Linked DNA regions of Drosophila melanogaster. The protein of the gene in region 3 interacts with the protein of the main gene of each other region in a pairwise test. Each region holds a gene or a part of one and is shown on either strand. Other genes may lie near its edges.

Region 1 (5,757 bases), on a different chromosome or scaffold from region 3:
GCTACAAGGATAATTTCTCGTGGCGTCAGTCAAGCGCGCTCACCCATAGACATAAATATTTAAGGACACACACTGGATTTGAGCCGGGCTTTCGAGTGTTATTAGCGTAATTGAGTTTGTTAGCCAATTATGCATGCAATGAGCCAGAAACGCCAACGTTCGCCGCCTTCAAAAGTTGAACCAAACAAATTTAAAGACCGTCCTTGAATCGCACATTTGAATGGAAAATTCGTGGCAGGGCGCGTCGTCTGTGCAACAGTTCTTGAAAATTGCATTTTCTTAATTTATTTGCTATGCTAATTTATTTATTGACTGACTGGCCACGAATGCCAACAGCCCAATGTCATTTGGCCACAGACGACACGACCCGTGGCATCCTGAAAATCACGCAGACAAGTGCCATATTAAACAGCAGGTGCCACAAATTTCGACTCAAAAATGTATTGAAACAAAGGACACTTTAACTTAAATAAATATGAATTTGAAAAAATTTATATATGTATATTTGTTAGCTAGCAAATATCTTTATTACTCCATCATACAGTTTGATTTTTCAGAAAAGTTTATAATTTTGTATTTTCATTGCTAGTATTGTGAACTCGTCTGTATGTGCAGCCAATTGCATTCTGCATTCAGTTCGTGAAGGGAATGCCCCAAAATGAAGCAGGAAGCCAGCAGAAATGCTGATTTTTGATGGAGGTGTGGCAAATTGAACACATGTTCATTGCCAAATTCTTGAATTAAATTGGCAACGAGCATTTCCAAATTGATAATCAACAAAATTTACATTCGGGTGTTGGTAATTAAAACACGGAAAGACAAGAGAGCAGAAAGTTCTAAATATAACAGAAAAAAAAACAAATAAATTAAAGCTTGTACTCTTTAAAGTATCTACACATGTCATATATTTTTAAGTGTCTAAATCCCTTTAAAACATATATGTATCTGCATTTCTAGCGCCTTAAATTATTACACAATCCTGATAACTCATTTATGGCCTGTCGTCTGTGCTATCTTTGTATCTATTTTGCACACTTAAAAAGTTGGCATAAAAAGAACAGAAACCGCAACAAAAAGAAAAAAAGAAACAATAAAACCGAGTGTAAAACGCAGAAAGTAACCACCAGAAGGGAAAACAACAAATTCGAACAAAATGTTTGCCCTTCGCGAAGACAATGCAAGTTAAATTACGTCACGCAAGCGAATTTAACCCCGAAAAAATGGCAAAAAAAAAAAGAAAAGATACTGTGTGAATTTTCGGGTGCCAGCACCAACACACACACGCAAGCACTCACACACACACACACACACACACACTAACACACAGTAAAAGGAACAGGATGCCCCTGTGGATATGCAACGCTCAATTTGCCATTGCCAACCACAATGGCAACCGAAATTGGCAACTTAATTTATGTGCTGCGCTAATTAGCACCATAATTTAATTTCCAATTGGCAAACGGAAAACGGGGAGAAAAAAAATGGGGAAAGCGAGTGGTGAAAAATCGGGGAAAATGGAAAAATGGAAAATGAGAACTGGGCTAACAATGCAAATGCAAATGCAATGCCTGTTGCTGCCAATCGCATATGCTTCGTTTGAGCTGAGATTGCGCGGGTAAACAAAATGCATTTAACCCTTTTGCGTACTCTTCAAAAGAAAAAGGTAAATTAGTTGATATATTAAATAAGTATTATTATTTATTTTTCAAATACTGTTAGTCATAAAATTGTCATTGATTAGAAAATTACTTTTATTTAAGCTTAATTAAGCGAACTACAAATTGTTTATATAATGACTTTTTCACTTTCTCAACAGATATTTCCACTTTTAAAGGGTATCTGTGTGACTGAGTTAAAACCACAAAAATTCCCACATTTCACATTTCTTATTCATTTTCCGATCACTTGCGCTCCGCATGCGAAATTCCGATGAAAAATCCGGAGCTGCCGAAATAAAATCGAATTAAATGCAGTGCACATATGTCGCCACCCCGTGGATCCCCCGTTTTTTTTTTTTGGTGCAAACCAACCCCCCATCTGCGCACACGCCCCCTAACAAATGATGTTGACCGCCCATGGTCATGGATGCTAATTAATCTTGATTTTCAAACCGGGCAAAAGCACGCAAGCAGGAGGAACTGTGAGTGTCCTTTACGTCAAAGTGACAATTAAATTAATCATGATGGCAAACGATTATGTCAACAGGACACACAGGACACAGTGACACACACACACAGTGGACTAGAGGAGCGGCGGGGGAGCTGAACTAAAAAAAGGATGTCGCACATCAGAGCAGAGAAGTATGCATGTCTCTACTGCTTCAAAATCTAATTATAGCCGGAGCATCAAACTTATAATTAACATTTCGACCGCAGCACAAAAAAATTGGGAATGTGCGAAAGAAACGAGCAAAGCGCCAAAAGCAGTTACTTACGTTGCATGTGCTAGACATTTTTAATTAGTTTTGCGGTTAAAAACTTTAGCATTGACTTTAAATTTAAAGAAAGATGTGTCAATGTTTTGCTTAAAACTTGTGGGGTCAACTTTTAACTGCTCTCCTCTCCTCGCCTTTCTTGTCAAAATCAACTTCGTTTAATTTATTGTTTAACAATATGACACTATTTCTTGGCGTTTTGATGATTTTACTGTTTCTTTGGTTGGAAGTGTACAATTGTTGAAGCACACTTTTCAAACTGCGCGCCTTTTGAAACAGGGCTGTCGCTTTCGATCAAAAACAGACAGGTGGCAACGCTGACACGCAGCATAAATGCAATTAATTTAATACAGCGCTAAGTGCATATTGAAAATACACAATTTCCAAATTCGAAATTACATAAAAAACTTCAAAAACTATTACAATAAAAGCCAAGCAAACACTCATAGATTATTAGTTAAATTATGTCGATTGTGTTATCGCTAGTAGTCCATCTCTAATCGCACGAGGTGAAGAAATCGCAAAGAATTTCGGAACTTTTATTGAATTAAACATAAAAAAAAACAATTGAAAATGACGGAAGCAGCGGAAATCAACGGCAGAGAAGAAGTGGAGGATGACGAGCAGGATAAAAAGCAAAAGAAATCCGATGTGAAACGACATGACGACGGCGCCGCAGGTAAATAAATATTTCACATGCCGCAACTCATTCCACTGAAAAATTGCAAAAAAATGACTGGCATCTATGAAATATCATGTATTGTGCACCAATCCTTAATAAATATGGAGTATTAATACTAAAACTTCATCTTGCTTTTAGATTTGGAACGTGTGACGGATTATGCCGAGGAAAAGGAGATCTCTGCGGACAATATATCCAGCGTAAGTTCATATATTTATTAGCAAGGCAATATTTGTATTAACAACATCCTTTTTTTTTATAATTTACAGGCCGTGGAGCAGTTTGGCAACCAGCGTAACAAGGAGAACGAACTGCGAGTAGCCAAAGAGAAGGAGCTCCAGAAGGTCCAAGTCAAGAAGGAGGACATTGAACTGATTGTACGTATGCGAAACTACAAGGAAGTATTCCCTTTCATTGTAGAGATACAAATATAGTTCATTGCATTAGCTCCAGTTCCCTTAGATTTCCTCCTTTGGTTTCCCATAGATAACTTTCTTCCGATCTTCCTTTTGTAATGGTTTCCTTCCCCTCTGCCCTTTCAGATGAACGAGCTGCTGGTTAGCAAGGCGCATGCCGAGAAAGTGCTCCGCGAGCAGAGCGGCGATGTGGTGGCCGCCTTGGAAGCCATCATCAGCAATTGAGGTGCTCGTGGAATCCGAAGCAATCCGCCGTCTGTTTCTTTTATGTAGCGTAACAACACACTGCTTTATTTGTACATTTATAAACTCTAGCGAAGAAAACAATACAAAACAAAAAGACTTTTAAGCCCACAAATGAGTGAGAGTGCTTACATCGTCTAAACGAATTTATTTTGGAGTTATAATAACTTGCAATTTTATTCAGAATATCGCCACTGCCCATGCGTTCCGTGTCCTTAAGAAAAATGTGATGATGCGTCGTATCCGTGTATAATTTATGTTTATAATTTATGTATCCGATTGCTAAATGAAACAAACGCAAAGTCCTTCGTCTCAGCCGCCCACTTATATTCGTAAATCGTGTAAATATGACTTTTTGGCAGTTGCGTTTGCTTCGCTTTCACATATTGCCCGATTGCTTTCTATACGAAATGAAAATGCTACCAAACGTTATTGGGGAAAACCTGATGCCTCATAGCAGCTCTATACGTTTCATTCCGTTTCATTTTTTTTTTTGGGGGAGAGAGGGAAGGTATTTAAATAGACATATAAATTATGAAACAAAATAGACAATGAAATTCATTTATAACAACTAAAGCAAAATATGCAATAACTACACAACCCAGCAGTTAAGGTTTCAAATAGTGGTGGATTTGAGGAGTAGCTTTTCGTGTGATAGCATTAACTAATTTATGTGATTAAATACTTTTGCAGATTCTCGCACGATGGCGTATTGATGTTCTGCGCCTTTCTGTACAGATCCCGATCGCCAAAGGTACGCGCCTTGGCCAGCATTGAGTCGCCTGTAAATCGTTTATGTTAATATCAGTTTAGTATAGTTCCTCTGCCTAACTTACGATAATTCCTCTCTCGACTGCAGGAGTGTTTTAGATGATTCACAAAGTCCTCTTCCACGGATTCCTCTAATCGGGCCACTGATCCCTGATATTCTGAATAGAAGTTGTCCTTTACGTAGTATGGTACCTTCAGGGAGTTCGTCTCACGCTTCACCGAATATTTACTGCGGATTAGAGAAATGAATCCACATTAGTGCTAAGCTAATTTTTAATTTGGTTTGCTTACTGAGAGGGCGTCAAGCTGTACATTGGGTCCGAGATGAAGAAGGACGACATCATGGAGAGTCCAATGAGCAGCACGATGGGCAGCAAGTTTACCAAGGCCGAAGAGTTGTTACCCTTGATATGGAGATAAAAGGCAGTCGTTTATAATGTGCACAAATGATTTCGACTCGGTACACTTACTTCTCGATCCTCGCGAGCCTGCTGACGACGTCGCTGCTGCCGCATATGGACATTCTGCTGTGGGAATCCGCCGTTGAAGAACATGTTGAACAGCTCCTCGGCACTGATGTCAGCCTGGAATCCACGCGAATATCCATACTCGTTGTTGTAGTATTGCCCGTGTCCATGGTGTCCGCCACCATTGTTGCCGTGACCATTGTGCGACTCATTGATGCCATACAGATCGTAGTTCTTGCGCTTTTCGGCATCCGTAAGTACGCCAGCAGCATTGCCGAGAGCCTTGAAAGCCTCCACCGCACCAGGAGCCTTATTCTTGTCGGGATGCAATTGCAGAGCTAGCTTCTTGTAGGCCTTTTTGATCTCCGAATCAGTGGCCGTCTTGCTAACGCCCAGTACTTCGTAGTAGTCCTTACATCTAATACCAAATGCACAAATGCAATTAGTAATGTGAAAGGCTGGCTATATAGAGTGGTACCTACGTTTTGACCTTTCGCACAGCTTCCAACTGATCTTTGGTGTAATCTGGGGCACTGGAACGGGAATCCGAGTTCACACGTTTCCTCGGCCCGCTGTCCTTCTCATCGCTGGCACCCGCTGTACGGGATTTGCCATTGCTTTCGTTGCTCGGAGTGCTCTTCAACTGGGCAAGTAGCTCTACAAGATGGAAAAGAAACACGTCAGCAGGTCAAAGGTCAATATTCATTTAATGCTGTGGCATGATGTTGTTGATCTGTTGTTAAG
Region 2 (7,578 bases), 8.5 Mb from region 3:
ATTCGTTTTTACTTAGCTCCATTAACGCGCTCAATCAAATATTTTCTTTGATGTGTGACTTTAAAATGATTATAATGTTTCAATTATTTGTAATTGAATTACTGTGCTTTTGCATTTTTTGATTTGTGTGCACTTTAAAAGGTTAATCAGTTAATAAATTAAAAATTCTGAGCTTTGTGGTTCATTTTACATTTTATCCCTTCATTATCCGTTTATCGCTGACAACTCGTCACATTTTTTTTTTTTTATAAATCAGTGGGCTTTTAGAGCGAATTTTTAGCCAAGACCGCCTTCCTGGAACTGGCTAATAATAAGTGGCTATTCCTTCGCTCACCGCAAGCCAAGCATAACAATTGCTTTTTATTTTATGATTGCCGTGGCTGTAGGACCTCGTCCTGCTGCTGATTTTGCCTCCGTTTCCTGGCCAGACAAATACCCCCGGCCCAAAAATTGCTTGTCTTTAATTATGTTTTGGTCCTCGAGTTTTGTGCATTGCCTTGTTTATTTTTATTACTCGGCGCGTCGTCGGCGCCTGTTTATTTACATTAATTTTTTCAATTTACCTTTATTACCCGGGCGCAGAGGGTCCTTCGGTTCGCTTTATGCCGGGACTTAATTAAGCTTTCAGCTGTTTCCCCTGCGCCTCGCACAATCTCCAATGGCGACTCCCATTTTAATACAAATTCTCTTTATTTATGACTCGGCATTGGGGGGGGGGAGTCTTGTTTTCTGCGGTCTGAGTGCGACGTCAATTTCCATTTCCGCTGCATCCTGGCTAATCTGCCTTCATCATTGGAGCAGCAGCAGCAGCAGCAGCAGCAGCCAGCGTATATTAGCTATATATGGCTATATCCACGAGTTTCCCCTCTTTTTTATTTTTGCCCTGGGGTTAAGTGGCCTGGCTTTCCGGTGGGTGGGAAAGTGGTAGGTAAAATCAAAAATGCCCCAAAATGTCGGGCACTTTTGAAATTTCCTACGCAATTTCCGTTGTCAACACCTTGACAGCTGTCAGACGCACACACAGACACTCTCGACACTCTTGCACACTTACACACGCACACCCGCACACCACACACTCAAAGGCACTTGTCAGTTCGATTTTTCGCCTGCCATGTTTGTTTTTGCTCTTTTTTGCCTAACGGAAACGGAAATTGTTAGGCTTAATAGACAATTCGCATTTCCTCTTCCTTTGAAGTCCTGTATTCAGCAGCCCGCTTCAGTCCGCACAATTGCACAAATCAGTGCTCCTGCTGCTGTTTCTGTCTACTTTGCGTCCGTTGATGGAATCTGAATCTGAATTACAATAATTGTAATATTTAACATCTCAATGGCCAGCCAGATCCTTTGCTCCTCTAATGAGGCGTCACCGAAGGACATGCATAATCAATGAAGGACCAAACGGACGAATGAATCGCTCAATGAGCGACTGAATGAGTGAATACCCAAATAAGCGAGCGTTTCGAAGGCGTAGGATGCAGATTATGAGGATGGATTAATTAATTAAGCATTATTTAGCCAGTGAAACCGATTTCATCTTTAAATCTATTTGAATGTTTTGCAAATTATTAAGATATTCGCATCTCTTCTTTGTATAATTATTAATAATTTGCGCTATTCTTAAACTTTCTTTATAGATACTGCGTGGAATTCGAGGTAATAAAATCATCTAAAGCCTGCAACAAGTTGCCGCCATATAACCTGATGACAGAAGGTAAGAAAAATCAAAGTAACTAAAGTAGTATTTAATATTTATGCAATCAAATGTGTAAAATAATATTTTGACTGTCTTGTGTTTTATTTTCCAGGCGATCGCATCACGGTGCGCTGTGACCTTGAGGCATTGATCCAAGACTCAGCCGGCAGCTCCACCACCGCCAGGACACCACAAGGACCCACTACGCCGTCCACGACCACAGTTTCATCCGCAGCCTCTGCCTTTGGCCAGCGTACGGATGACCTTGAGGAGGAGCGACTGCAGCGTGAGACCAGCAGCGAAGAGGAGGCGACCAATCAGGATGGCGAGGCGGAGGAGGAGGATGAGGAGCCGGAGCAGGATGAGCAGGATGACCTGCAGAATGCCCTGGACTCGGACAGCAACGAGAGTACCGACTACCGTCACCAGCGGCAGTCGCAGATGTCGCAAATGTCGCACAGCCGCCGGACAGCGGGAAAGCGCAGCGCTGTGCCGGCCACGCCCTCGCCCACGCTGCCGCCCACCTACCATTGCCGGGGGGAGGGGCTGGCCGGACGCACGACACGTTGGAGCGCGCTGCCGGCGCCGTCGTGCCGCGGCAAATGGCTCCGTCTGACCGTCGGTCCGCCCAAGAAGTGCGGCCACGCCCAGTTCATCTTCGTCTAAGGCGACGTGGTCATGCCGCCCACTCAAGTTGCGGTGTCCATTTTTTTTTTTCTCCGTGTAGGTTATGGTGTACGGTCTCCCCCACTCATCATATCATATCATATCACCCGCGCCCCTGCCACGCCCCCTCACTTCCGGCCCAAAATCAATAAAGTACCCCATCGTATGTAAGCGTTTAAACATTAAGCCAGTGGATTAAGAAGATCATAGCATATGTATGTATATGTATGTGTGATGAGGTCAGGATTTTTTTTTTTGTTTGTCTCGCTAGAGAAGAGAACCGGAAATAAAGGATACACTGCCAGTGAAATATAGGGTATATATGGAGGAATATCACATATTTCTGAAGTTTTCGAGGGGTTCTACAATTTCGGACTACTAACTTCTGCTCTCTTAGATACTTTATAAATTTAAAAAAAAACTTCCAAAGACTTATGATCTCCTCCACACACATGATATTCATCATATAACCATATTGATATCACGGCTGCTGTGGACTTCCTTCGGTTAGCATTTCTCTAATTAGTTAAGGAAACACTCGCGTGTAAGCATTTGGGCTCAGGACCCAATCAACAACTCAATATAAATGCTGGGGGTCTGTGAAGACGCTCGGATCTCGGATCGGATAATACTAGAAACTAGAGACTAAGTCATCAAATACCGCATAACATCTACAGTGAAAATGGAGTCGAGCTGCGTAGTGAAAGAACCTATATATACATGTATGTGGATGTGCACGAGTGTATCTGTCTAATCGTTAGTTCCCCCCGACTCGCAAGCATATAGCACACACACGTTCTACACATAACATAACATATATGATACATTTGTCAAAAGCAAATGATTAAGGCCCACAATTTTTGGTTACCCAACTGGCAGACAACCCTCTGGAGTCGGAATTAACGTTTGGATCTTAGTATTAATCTGGATTTTAGGTACACACGAATGTCGAAATAATTATTATAATTATAATTAAACCAATAATGAGATCATTCAATAAAGAACGAGTATAATTTTAAAGTAAACCAATGTTGTCTTTGAACATTTACCAATCTAGAGTCTTGAGCCATCCTGGTTTATCTACAACTTGTTTGGTGACTCGATCGTCAGTGCTGCACAGTGGGTCGAAAGTAATTGTAAAATAAAATAAAATAAATAGTTTTTGGGCATATAAAAAGAAACATTTAATAGTTAATGCTATTAAAGCATTTAATAGATTGGATATGTAGGCATATAGATCTTTATAGTATAATTACATTATTAATTTAAAATTGTTTCAGATTTTATTTATTTCCTGATTTTGTGGTACAAGTTTTCCTAGTTTTCTTCTTTTTCAAAGTGTAGAGTGGTCCATAAAAACCATATCTGGACCCACTGTGCTTGAGTACTCAGCTGTTTTGGGTTTACCGGTTGACCCAATTACCACCAATGGTCGGTTAGGTGCCTTTCAGCGCTCTTTCTCTGGCTTTGCCTCTCGGCTTCGAGGCTTGAGTTCACGGTGAAGGCCAGAAGAATGACAGAGAGAAGAGCGAAGACTTGACTTGACTTGACTTAAAGAAAGAGTCGAGAATCGGCCAGAGGCAGCTGGTCCGACGAGGCGGCTACTTGATTAGTCCCAAAGCGATCGCAGACCGAGACGGACCGACGACAAGAAGCTGCAGTCTTAACCGTTAAAAGTAATTCTTTTGCATTTGCATTCTTCAAGTTTCATTTCTTCTCGCCAGTGGTGATTCATCAAGAAATCGGTTGTTTGGTTGTCGGGTTCTCTGTCGGCGGTGTGATTCCCGTTCTTTTTGGTTCGGCCGCGAAGAAAGTTGTCTTCAAACATGTTAATTGCGACGAGGGGCCGTGGGCCGTCGATTTCTTTTAACGGTCTAAGTTTGGCCAAACGAAAACACTTTTCGTTTAAGCCGATAATCGAAAACATCTAGACATTTGACAAGGCCTACACTTAGGTTTTCTTTATTCAGTCATAAAGTTCAGCACATTAAGTTGGTTTAAAGTCTAAGAAACTTTTTTTGTGAAGAGGTCGTTAGATCCGACTTAGATGATCTTGCTTTTTATGTACACATAAAAGCCATTATTTGCAGGGAATTTTAACGGAGTAGTCAAACGTATAATATTAATAATATTATATTTATTAATAGAAACAACAAACACTTATTATATTATTATTAAATCGGACTTAGATATGTTGTCAGACAAAAAGGCGGCTCTCCTGCTGGTGACCGCGATTACCGCCCTCAAATTGGAGGAAATGAATGCCTATAGACGCAACTTCGATGCGCGGCAAAGTAGTAATTCGAATATTCCACTCTGGAAACAGCGAGTAAGTTGGAGAACCTAACGTTCATAATTTTCTCGAACCAATTCCGAAAATATTCGATTACCTAAGGCCTGTGAGAAATCACAGAAACAGCGGCAAAATGCACACTATGTTTGCGATGAAAAAGGTGACTTCAAGTGCCTTCCTGGGTGGCAGGGTGATCTTTGCCAGGTGCCTATGTGTCGAAGGGGCTGTGACCCGATGAATGGTATGTTTACTCCTTCAGATGATTCCCTATCTTGTGACCCCTGAACTCACATTCACACAGGTTATTGCCAGCGACCCGGTGAATGCAGGTGTCGCATCGGATACAGCGGCGAACTCTGCGACAAGTGCATTCCGCTTCCAGGTTGCCAACATGGCGGATGCACCAAGCCATTCGAGTGCATCTGTAAGCCTGGCTGGGCGGGACTCTTCTGCACGGAACGTAAGTAGTTACCGGAAAAGGATAAGCCTGATTACAATCTTACATTTAAAGAACGGAGCATTTAGAGAAGGAGTTAAAACATAGGGAACTAATATCGTTTTGGGGGTTGTACTTGTTATATGACATTTCCAATCAAATCAAACATTCCTAACTCTGTCCAATCCGATTACTCAATTGCCTGTTTCCTCCAATCCGCGCGCAACCAAAGCAAGTTGCCGTACCGGATGCCACAGCACCCGTGGATATTGCGAAGCGCCTGGGGAGTGCCGCTGCCGGATTGGTTATGCTGGACGCACCTGCTCCGAATGCGCCACGATGCCGGGCTGTCAGCACGGCACCTGCAACAAGCCACTGGAATGCCTCTGCCTACCCGGATATACCGGACTACTTTGCCAGACGCGTAAGTCCTGCAACCACCAAAGGAATCCGCCATTCACCCTACTAATCCCAAACTCCATTCCGCCATTCCAGCAATCTGTGACCCAGATTGCAGCAAGCAGCACGGATATTGCCGCAAACCTGGCGAGTGCCGGTAAGTAGGAGCAGCATTTCAATAAAGAAAATGCAGAAAATGTGGTTTCGGCAAGCTGGAGTGCCCCTTTTCGGATAAGTCAACTATTTTTATCCTTAATTTAACATTCCCAAGCATTATGGCTCAGTTAGCTAACAGCAAACTAACAGCAAAACGAACCCATATCTGTCATCAATTTTCACGGACATCCCCTTCTTCTCCAGCTGCAAGGTGGGCTGGACGGGTAGCCAGTGCGACAAGTGCTTCCCGTATCCGGGATGTGCCAATGGGGATTGCGAGGCGCCATGGGAGTGCAACTGCCATCCCGGCTGGGGCGGAATGCTGTGCGACGAGAGTGAGTATATCCGTATATGTGACCATGCCAACGGGAAATTGACCGAGTTGACCCACAGAGCTCACCTACTGCGTGGAGCATCCGGATACGTGCGAAAACGGGGGCAAGTGCACATCGCTGAGTCGCGAGGATGGGAGCTACCAGTGCCAGTGCCGGCAGGGATTTCTGGGCAAGAACTGCGAGATACGCGATGACTTTCTGCTGACCTCAGAGGCGCCACCGCGAATCACACCGCCCACACCCGCTGAGCTCGTACTGGAACTAGATGGCGAACTGGACCAGAACGGGCAGCAGGACATCGGTGCAGGTGTGCCCGATGACAGCGAGCCAGGAGGCGGGCTGGTTGGAGAAAAGTTGCCAGCGGGTAACGAGCCGGAGCGGCGGAAAAATGACACGGTAGCCAACGTGGCAACCGCAGGAACTGGAGCTGGAGCAGGACCCATGAATTCACTACCCGGCAACAGCAACGCCACAAGGACGACATTGGTGGTGGCAACTGAAACTGGCAGCGACAATGCGACTAATGAAGCGTTAAGCGCCGTTACAACGAGGCGTGCCACCCCGATTCCCCTCACATCTGGCGAAAAAACCGTAAAGGGTAATGCAACAAGCGTGTCGGTAGCGACAGGACCTCAGCCACGCCCCCCGCTGCCCATCGTCGCTAGCCAGGAGCAAACAATAGCAAATTTGGCGCCAGCTGGAACAGTAACAGTAACAGCAACAACAGCACCAACGGCTACAACAGCCGCAACATCCGTGACCAGCCACAAGGATAAGCCAAATGTGGCAGACGAGGAGGAGGACGAAGATGACGACGATGATGAGGAGGATGAGGATGGCGAGTACGATGAGGAGGAGGATGAGGACGAGGACGACGAGGAGGATGACAGCGATCAACTCATACCAAATATTATATAGTTAAGAACCTGACAAATGACAAGTAATCCCTCTTATATATATATACACATTGTTCAGTTAAGGGCCCACATATGCAGCATCTCAAAGCAATTTTTTTTTTTTTCTGAATATTTATTATTAACTAATGAATGAAACATCCAATTAAAAAACTCCATCCATTGCGATAGATATACATATATAAATTGTATTTATTTATGATAATTTTAGGGATTAAGCTAAGCAATTTTCGATTTAACAAATGTCAAAAAAAAAAAATGATATTATTAAAGTTTGCTAATCTTAAGTGCTACAAGAAATCGTTGAATCGAAATATGAATAGGGGACCAGAGGATTGGACTCAGAGCCTGTGGGAGTTCAATTCCTGCACTCGGATTGCACTTGGTTCGCTTAAACTTAAGACAAATGGGGGACTACGAGCTCGGGTTTGAATGGGGATCTATATGGCCATCTTAGCGCCACCGAGTTGGGGGTAGTACGATTGGATTGGGTATCGAAAATTGGAATATGGAAACCAGCACATCATAGACATCTAAACATACATATGGACTCTTGCATATGGGCGTTAATAAATATATGTAGTAACTGGTATGGGAGACTTACGAATCGACAAAAAAATATGTAGAAGTATGGGAGAGAGAGAGAATGACTCAATACAATATCGATACGAATAATAATAATAATA
Region 3 (9,456 bases):
ACAACGACGCTGTGTCGGTCGAGCCGCGACGAACGCTCCAGCAGCGCCAACTGTCGAGGATCGAACCGCAGCCGGAAGTCCACGTCCCTCATATCGTCGCCCTGCGCCTCCTCCTGCTCCTCCTCGTCCTCCGCTACCCGTCCAGCGCTCTGCTTGAGCAACTTGCGCTGACGGGGTTGCTCAAATCGCTGGCGGCGCTTCATGGCTTTCAGCTGGCGCAGCTCACCATGTCGCGTTGCGCGCTCGGCACTGGTCAACTGGGAGTCCGAATCGCTGGCCACCACCATGCCGCAGCTCTCGAGGATGCGCTGGAACTGTTGACGCAGCTTGGTCACCTCATAGAAGCGCTGCTCCTCGATGCCCAAGCGACGGCACCACTGTCGAGTGCCATCGCGCCGCATCTTCAGCTGCACCCACACGTTGTAGAGTCGCACCAGGGTGAAGAGGTCGCCATGATCGGACTCCAGAGACTCCCGCTCGCGCACGCAGCGCTGGTCTGTGTGGGCACGATTCGTCAGCGGGTTCTGCACGCTCAGCATGGCGGCCAGGGTCAGCAGCTGCTCCACCTCGGGAAACACGCTGCCCATAAGCAGCATCTTGCCGATGGACAGCTCTACGGGCAAGTTGGCCAGCGATCTGCCCAGCGGTGTGATCTTTTCCTCCACGCTGAGGGCGCACTGCAATTAGAGATTAGAAGTCCGGTTGAATTGGGGTCTACACAGTTGGGTATCGGTGAAATGCTCACGTGTTGCTTTAGCGCCAGAATAGTCTGCTCGATGCGCTCCGTTTCCGGGGCCTCTATGAATGGAAAGGCCCGGACGTCGGGCAATCCCATGGACACCATCTGCAGCAGCATCGTGTCGAGCGGCACGCGGTAAATTTCCGGAGTGGGATATGCCTCGAAGGCGTTGTATTGCTCCGCAGTGTAGAGCCGAAAACAGACCTGCGCTCGGAAAGTGGGAATGTATGAGAAATGGAGCAACCGTGGGTTAGGTTCTAGCTTACACCTGGTCCCGTGCGACCAGCACGACCCTTGCGCTGATCCGCAGACGACTTGGACACCCAGAACTCTTTCAGACGCTGGCCCTTGCAGGTTGCGTCGAAGTTCATCTCCTTGACCTTGCCAGAGTCGACCACGAACCGCACGCCGTCCACGGTGAGCGACGTTTCGGCTATGTTGGTGGACACAATGCACTTGCGCATGCCCTCGGGTGCGTAGTCAAACACCTTGCTCTGGTCCGCGATCGCCTGGCCACTGTGCAGCGGCAGGACGAGCCAATGAGTCTGTTCGGTGGCATACTCGTGAACGGCCTCCACAACAGATTCGATTTCGTTTACGCCGCTAACGAAGATAAGGACGTCACCGCGCTCGCTGGCTAGGTAAGATGATTATTAGGCGATCCCTACAAGAACATGATAACTAAACTCACTCGGATACTGCTGGTCAATAAGGCTAAGCACCTGGACAAATGGAGCTGGATCGATGCGGTTTCTCTGAGAGCGTTTGGATGTCGCCTGTCCCGCCTTTAGTTCCAGTGCAGGAGGCGGCAGATAGCGCAGTTTGATGGGAAATAAACGTCCCGGCACCTGGACCAGCCGTGCGCCCTCCTCGCCGAAGTAGCCGTGGAAGAGCTCCACGTTGATGGTGGCAGACATGAGTATCAGCTTCAGTTGCGGCCGCGCCCTCAGTAAGCACTTGGTAACACCCAGTAGAAAGTCACCGAATAAGTTGCGCTCGTGGATTTCGTCCAAAATCAGGGCATCGTACTGGTCTAGGTTGGCGGCCACCGCTAGTTGCCGCAGCAACAAGCCCTCCGTAATGAAAAGGATGTTGGTGAGCTTCGTCCGACTGCGCTCGAATCGGATCTGGAATGCCACCCGACTGCCGTAGTCGTCCAGCAGCTCGTGCGCAACGCGCTTGCACAGGGAGACGCAGGCCAAACGGCGCGGCTGGGTGCAAGCTAGGGCAACAAAAGGTCGATCATTGGTAAGGCAGCCTCAATGGGAAGCCGCATACTCACCAATGCTGCGGTAGCCAAAGTCATAGAGATACTGGGGCACCTGTGTGGACTTGCCGCAGCCAGTGTCACCGGCCACGATGACCACGCGGGACGTGTCCAGTGCCTCGCGCAAGTCCTTCCGGAAGCGAGCAATGGGTAGATTGCGTTGTGTCTGCCGCAGCTTTCGGATACGCTGGAACTTTTCCGTCTGGCGGAAGTCTAAGTACACCAGCAAGATATGACGAAACTGGGACTGCATTTGGTCGCGCGCCTCCTGAAGCAGTTCGTCAGCGTCCAGCCGCAATGCCAAGTGCTTGCTGCGGTGATACGGCTGCATGCTGCTCAGCTCCGCCTCCGCGAGTCGAGGCGGCAGCACGGGCTGGCCCGTGGAGCGCATCATAGCCTCGTACTTGCCCACGAACTTCCAGAAGTCAGCCTCGTTCTCCACCAGACTCCTGCCTACCTGGCGGCTCTTGGCCTGCAGCAGGCCCACGAGCTCCGCCTTGTGATCCAAGAAACTGAACTCGATCAGATTGATCTGAGTCCTGCGGCGGCTGGAGGCATGTTCATCTGCCTTCTTCTTTATCCGAGACATTTTCACCGAAGCAAAATAGTTCCTAAAATTTGTATTTACTTCTTCCCACAGCAAACGATAACACTGCTACCGATAAACGGTCAGCTGTGCAAGAACCCAAGCCGATAACACAATTCTGGAATGTGGATGACTACTAACAAGGTTTATTTCCCTAGATTGCTAACAGAAGATGCTACCACATGGCGCGCTGGACGCCGGACAGCTTATTGTAGTCGGCGAGGTGGCGCCACACGATTCGACTGAGCCTGTACTTGTGGACAACTCCGCGCGGACGTGACGTAAGCGCGCAGCGTTCCCTCACCCGGACGAGCGATGAGTCCCGAGGAAAAGCAGCGATCTCGGCGTCGGCTACCTCGCGTAGCTCCGGCGGCAGGATGTCGTTCTTGCGCAGCGAGTTGACTCGCAGCCGCTCCACGGCGTTCTCCTTGACGCACTTGCGCCGCTTTACGTCGCGAATCATCTTCCAATCGGCATACTTTGTGCGCACCTGCTGCAGCTGTTAAGACAATGGGCTGGATATTATGTTCGCTTAGCTAGGAGTACGATGTTAACTTACCCCGCAGCCGGCTATTTGCACGGACTGGCACACAAAACCCCCGATCCTGGCCAGAGAATTCATGTTGTTGCTTTCGGTGGTGCTCTTCTTCTTTTTGCCTCTTTACTTTGTTCGCTATAGTGTCGGTTATTAACGCGCGGGACTATCGATAGGCAACAGCTGATGAGCCCATACAGTGAATTGCAAATTTATTGCCTATTATTTTCGTATACGAGAACTGGGTAATTTAAATGAAAAATACGATGGCGAAGCATGCGGTGTGGAATCTATAAGGTTAAAACATGGAAAGCCGGCTGACTTTCGACCTCTCGGAATAAGTTTTAATTAACAATTCACTCGCTTTACATAACCGCCTAGCAGCGCGATTCAAAACGAGCGCGTTCACACCCATTCGCAGTGGCGTACAATTGCTGTTACCATTCGCCGCGAAGCGCGTGAACACGTGTGCCAGTGTGCGTGCGCCAGTGCGTGCATGTGCACAGTCGAGCTTGCCAGTGTGGGTGTGTGTGGTCGTCTCACGTCGATTTAGAAATTTGCTCGTGCCCGCAGTTTGCCGTTCGCCGTTTTCGCCTTGTGTGTGTGGTGTGTCTACTCCGTATAGACTGCCAATCGAGTCCAGCTCCGCTTCCGAGCAGCAGCAGAAGAGGCATCGCAACTCAGCTCAGCTCGCTGATCCACAGATCCCGCAGTCCGGTGCAATTCACGGCCAGGCGAAAACCCAGTCCCAGTCAGCAGCTGAGGAAGAACAAGAACGACCAAGCAGAAGAAGCAGCAGGCCGAAGAGAGGAGCAGCCGCAGCCTTGCAGAGATGCCTTCTAGCGATCCCCTGCCGCCCAAGGAGGGCGCGCTCTTCCGCAAGCTACTTGTAAGCCGGTCTAGGTGACCCTACTGTCCCATACCTTCCCCTTCCCTTAATACCACAACTGTGCCGCCCCCTCCCTTTGTTCGTGCCTTTGGCCGGCTTCGGCATCCATGTGCTTTTTAGCCGAAGTCAGGTGGAGAGTGCCTATTTTTGGCAGAAGCAATCCGGAGGCGATGCCTCCGCTGCTCGAGATGTGTGGCTTCAGCGGGCGATTGCACAGCTCTGCTCAACCGCCGACGTTTGTGGTCGGCCCGCTGGTCTCATAACCTCAAAATTCGCGCTGCGCGGGATGCGAGAAACTTTGACTAAAACCTTTCTTCTCTGTGCTTTCTTATCAAACAGAAATGCTACGAACTGAAGCAGTACAAAAATGGCCTTAAACTGGCCAAGCAGATCCTGTCCAACCCCAAGTACATGGAGCACGGCGAGACGCTGGCCATGAAGGGGCTTACTCTGAACGGACTGGGGCGCCGCGAGGAGGCCTACAAGTATGTGCGTCTGGGTCTGCGAAACGACCTGCGCTCCCACGTTTGCTGGCACGTCTACGGACTGCTCCAGCGCAGCGACAAGAAGTACGATGAGGCCATCAAGTGCTACCGCAACGCGCTCAAGTGGGAGAAGGATAACCTGCAGATCCTGAAGGACCTGTCGCTTCTCCAGATCCAAATGCGCGACCTCGAGGGCTACAAGGAGACGCGCCACCACCTGTTCACGCTGCGTCCCTCGCAGCACGCCTCCTGGATCGGTTTCGCCATGAGCTACCATCTGCTGGGTGACTACGACATGGCCAACAGCATCCTGGAGACGTTCAGCCAGTCGCAAACGTCGATTGTATGTATCCAGCTGCCTGCCGATTCAATTTTATATTCCAATTCAATAAAATGCTCGTATTTCTTGTTCCATGTCTCTGCTCCGTGGGCAGGAGGCGCACGATTATCGGCACTCGGAGCTGCTGCTCTACCAGAACCAGATACTCATCGAGTCGAATCGTCTGCAGCAGGCCGTGGACCACCTGACCAAATACCAGGGCCAGATCGTCGACAAGCTGGCCGTTCGCGAGACCATGGGTGATCTGTACATCAAGCTGCAGCAGCAGGAGAAGGCAGTGCCCATCTTTGAGTCTCTGATCCGCCGCAATCCGGAGAATGTGCTCTACTACGAGCAGTACATTGCCGCCCGCCAGGTGACCGACTCAAGCGCCGTGGTGTCGATCTATCGCGTGTTCCAGGAGCAGTATCCGCGCGCCCTGTGCCCTCGCCGCCTGCCTTTGAACATCGCCAACGGCGACGAGTTTCGCGTCGTGACCGACGAGTACCTGCGCCGCGGTCTGCGTAAGGGCATTCCGCCGCTATTTGTCAACGTGCGCACTCTGCACCAGATACCGGAGAGGGCGGCCGTTATCGAGGAGCTGGCGCTGCAGTATTTCGAGAACCTTACCCGTTCCGGCCACTTTTCTCGCGAAGATGCCGACGCCGGAATTCCCGTCGAGCCGGCCTCGGCGCTGGTGTGGACGGCACTGTTTCTGGCGCAGCACTACGACTACATGCGCGATACGGACCGCGCTCTGGAGTACATCAATGTGGCTATCGACCATACGCCAACACTCATTGAGCTGCTTATCACCAAGGGTCGCATCTTTAAGCATGCTGGCGATCCCGTGGAGGCGTACGTCTGGCTGGAGGAGGCCCAAAGCATGGACACGGCAGATCGGTGAGTGAGCCCCATGGACTAGCATAGACCTGCTGAACCATGTAACCATCAATGTTTTCCCCTCAGCTACATCAATTCGAAGTGCGCGAAGTACATGCTGCGCGCCAACATGGTGCAGGAGGCAGAGGAGATCTGCGCCAAGTTCACTCGCGAGGGTGTCTCCGCCATGGACAACTTGAACGAGATGCAGTGCATGTGGTTCCAGACGGAGTGTGCCCTGGCCTATCAGCGCATGGGTCGCTGGGGCGAGTCGTTGAAGAAGTGCCACGAGGTGGAGCGCCACTTTGCCGAAATCGTCGAGGACCAGTTCGATTTCCACACCTATTGCATGCGTAAAATGACGCTGCGCGCCTACGTTGGCCTGTTGCGATTGGAGGACGTGCTACGCCAGCATCCATTCTATTTCAAGGCGGCCAAGTGCGCCATCGAGGTGTACATTCGTCTGTACGACAAGCCGCTTAAGTCGGAGACAACCATTGAAGAGATTGACATTGGTATGTGGACATTACCCCACTAGCTCCCTTGCTCGTTCTAGTTAGCTGTATGACCGCCTTTCTTCGTTACAGAGAACCTGCCGCCATCAGAACTGAAGAAGCTGCGCAGCAAACAGCGCAAGGCCAAGAAGAAAGCTGAGCTGGAGAGTGCGCAGGCCGCACAGGCGCAGGTGAAGCGCGAGCAGCACCAGAAATCGAAACAGCAGGCAAACCAGGAGACCGACCCCGATGCTCCGCAGTTGGACGAGCTGGTGGCCGAGAAGCTGGAGCGCACGGACGATCCGCTGGACAAGGCCATTGAATTCTTGAAACCGCTGCAGCAGCTGGCTAAGGAGCGCATCGAGACGCATCTGCTGGCCTTCGAGTTGTACTACCGCAAGAACAAACTGCTCCTTATGCTGCAGTGCATCCGGCGCGCTCGCGCCGTCGACGCCTCGCACCCCGTAATCCACAGCTGCATTATTCGCTTCGTTAAATCGTTGACCAGCGCCGCCAAGGAGCAGCCGTTCAATGAGCACGTGCAGCAGGTGCTGGAGAAGGCCACCAAAGAACTGATAGGCAGCAAGACGCCCCAGCAGCTCAACGATGAGTTTATTGCCAAACACAACGCTTCCATACTGCATTTATACGAGGGCGCACGCAGTCTGTACGAACTGGACAATAGTAAAAAAGCTGCCGCCATCAAGCTGGTCACTAGCTTCAACCTGGCCAAGCTCCGGCTGGAGGTAAGTGACTGCCAAACCCATTTCTCCACCCACTGACTGGCCCCCTGTTGATCCTTGCTCTTTGAATTGTGTTCCGCAGGAGGCCACCAAAATCTACACAGCGTTGCGGGACGGCGATGTGTTTGGCGAGTGCGAGGCAGAGGCCGCTTCCTACCAGCAGGCGTGCCACCAACGCTTCCAGTACGCCCGCATCTTTCGCAATGTCGAGGAGCTGGAGGCTCAACTGCAGGAGAAGGAGGCCGCCAAGCTGCGCGCCGAGGAAGAGCAGCAGCAGCTGATTCACGTTGATTCTAGTGAACCGGTGTCTGTTTTGGCCACGGCAGCGGCAGCGTCTTAGGACCAAACAAGACTACTAACTAATACCCGGGCCCGAGAAGTTAGTAACAGCAACAACAGATCTGCGGCCACCACACCAACAAACACAACAAAAGCAACAATAACGAAAAGTGAAGCGAAGAACCTAACTAACAACCAACAATATGAACAGGAATAAGCTTAGCTCTATAAACAACGGCAACCACAATAAAATTCACTATTAACAACAACAAACCAAGTGCTCTGATGAGGAGGACGCCAAGCCGCTCTAGGCATGGCCGAGTTTATCTGATCGGATCGGATCGGATTGGACCGGTACGGATCAGATCTGAGGCGGCAGTTGGCTTGGCGCTGTGCCCTTGTGCGTGGCACCTACCAGTCTGCCACCTGAGAACACATCCCGTCGTCATCCGTCACACAGCATCCTACAAAATGGTTTCGGACGAGGACGAGTCGATGAGGAATAGGAATAGGAATCCGGTACGAAATGGTGCGGAGGTGATATGTGGGATTCGCACGTCGAACGTTCGTCACCGCGAACCATGTAGTTAACCAAGTTGTTGTATCCACTGTTGTGGGATTTCGAAAACTGAATCAAACGGAACGAACCTTTGTTGACAACACCCGCTGGCTTTCTTAACAACACCTTATTTTTTATTATTTTTAACGAATGCATTGTATGTACATATGAAGTCGTAATTAATTATACGCAAATCAAAACCTTAATTCGTACACAACGACAAGTCTTCTAATTCTAAACCGCATTGTATTGAGCAGAGTAGGAGCGGCAGGACTGACTCCACTGGATGCGTTGTGTGTCCTTGTGCCCATTCTAGTATATTTCTGAGCAGCTTGCGCTGGTTTAGCATCGCAATTGAGCCGCCTACATTTAGTATATCTACTAACGACCTATATAGAAACCATTGCAGTTTGAACTAAGGATTAAATAAGTAAGCGCAACGACGCCATCATTTATTGAAACCAGACCAAGCAGGAGCTCTCAATCTTCGGGTTCATCGGTCAGATTGAGGACACGCGGCTTATAGGTGAGTCTTTTAAAACGACAAAAGCTCGAGTGAGCCCGCGTTGGGGTCGACTGCACCCCAACGGCGTCCTTATGTCGGCAGATTTTGACGAAACTCTCGGGAATCCTTGCGTTAGTGGTGATTGTCAGCGTGGCTGATCCCGCCGAGGTAATGTAGCGCTTCTGTCCCTCCCATCCTGGCTGGGAAAGCTTTTTCTCAATCTGCAGCTTGACCTCAAGTGAAGGCTGGGCTATTGCTCGGCGCTTTTGTTTTGGTTTTGGTTTATTTTCTTGCTTTCTTTCTTGTTTATTTTCCTGTTTTTTTGCTTGTTTTTCTTGCTGTTCTTGTTCTGAGCGAGAGAGAACCATGGAATAATGACCACACTTGAGGAAAAGATTTCTTCCCTACCTGCCATTTTTCTGTGCAACGTTTTGGGAATAACCTGCTCGCAATGATTTAGTCATGTGGCAATTGACGATAGCTGTCAAAAAAAAAATCGTTCAAAATTCCAAATTCAAGAATACAGTATAATCACAGGGCTAGCTCGATAGCCTCCCTGATCTGGCAATTCTCTAGCTGAAGGCTCTGCGACCGACAACTAGCGAAAAAACTATGCCAGGTCAGAGATTTCTTAGGAATTTGCGACTCCTTGCTCACGCGACACGTGCAGAGTTTCGATTTGAATTCAAAAGAAAACATTTGAATTTTAATTGCCAAAACAAATTGATAGAAATGATTGAAATGATCTGCCTTCACTAGATTTTCAAAGATTGTAAACAAATCACGAACGAGATTGCTCAATACATTTGAAATTAGCCACAGATTGCGTGGCACTGACAGCTTTATTCAAAACAAAATACGTCTTATAGGACAGATCCTTCTTAAAAGCTAATTTACACAATGCAGCTTGGCATTCTATCGAGTAACAACAAAATATGGGTAAAGTCCAGTTTATTGAAAAAATATAAAGACGAGTCAGTCTCATTTTAGTATTCACATAATCCGCAACTCTAAAAAAAAAATGATCTATCGTGTGCGGCAATTCTAGTGCCTCGCACAGACTAGGAGAGATAGAAATAAGGTGATATAAGATCCAAATAGCGTTGCATTTCTTCAGCTAGGTGGGATTTGAACCTAAAAATACCCATTTGTTCGCTCTTAAGTTGGATGCGGG

What was found.
Region 1: the proteins of Naa15-16 (region 3) and CG9922 interact in a two-hybrid assay, tested with the Drosophila melanogaster proteins (one large-scale study listed by BioGRID).
Region 2: the proteins of Naa15-16 (region 3) and C901 interact in a two-hybrid assay, tested with the Drosophila melanogaster proteins (one large-scale study listed by BioGRID).

Annotation. Positions count from the first base shown.
Region 1 is NT_033777.3:14,033,180-14,038,936, reverse strand, and holds CG9922 (uncharacterized protein), read left to right. Parts: upstream 1-2,538; 5' UTR 2,539-3,007; coding exon 3,008-3,113; intron 3,114-3,254; coding exon 3,255-3,316; intron 3,317-3,385; coding exon 3,386-3,493; intron 3,494-3,658; coding exon 3,659-3,757; 3' UTR 3,758-3,919; downstream 3,920-5,757. Other genes in the region: CG3061 (uncharacterized protein), read right to left, coding at 4,445-4,557, 4,612-4,775, 4,838-4,950, 5,017-5,431, 5,496-5,670.
Region 2 is NC_004354.4:10,963,525-10,971,102, reverse strand, and holds C901 (C901), read left to right. Parts: upstream 1-3,968; 5' UTR 3,969-4,035; intron 4,036-4,548; 5' UTR 4,549-4,550; coding exon 4,551-4,688; intron 4,689-4,754; coding exon 4,755-4,893; intron 4,894-4,953; coding exon 4,954-5,112; intron 5,113-5,320; coding exon 5,321-5,512; intron 5,513-5,583; coding exon 5,584-5,644; intron 5,645-5,847; coding exon 5,848-5,978; intron 5,979-6,036; coding exon 6,037-6,896; 3' UTR 6,897-7,071; downstream 7,072-7,578. Other genes in the region: vex (vexed), read left to right, coding at 1,635-1,711, 1,806-2,359.
Region 3 is NC_004354.4:19,476,663-19,486,118, forward strand, and holds Naa15-16 (N(alpha)-acetyltransferase 15/16), read left to right. Parts: upstream 1-3,321; 5' UTR 3,322-3,959; coding exon 3,960-4,016; intron 4,017-4,355; coding exon 4,356-4,844; intron 4,845-4,935; coding exon 4,936-5,723; intron 5,724-5,789; coding exon 5,790-6,217; intron 6,218-6,289; coding exon 6,290-6,942; intron 6,943-7,021; coding exon 7,022-7,279; 3' UTR 7,280-7,981; downstream 7,982-9,456. Other genes in the region: CG32533 (uncharacterized protein), read right to left, coding at 1-677, 746-943, 1,006-1,376, 1,431-1,961, 2,022-2,595; mRpS14 (mitochondrial ribosomal protein S14), read right to left, coding at 2,768-3,091, 3,152-3,214; pcm (pacman), read right to left, coding at 9,441-9,456.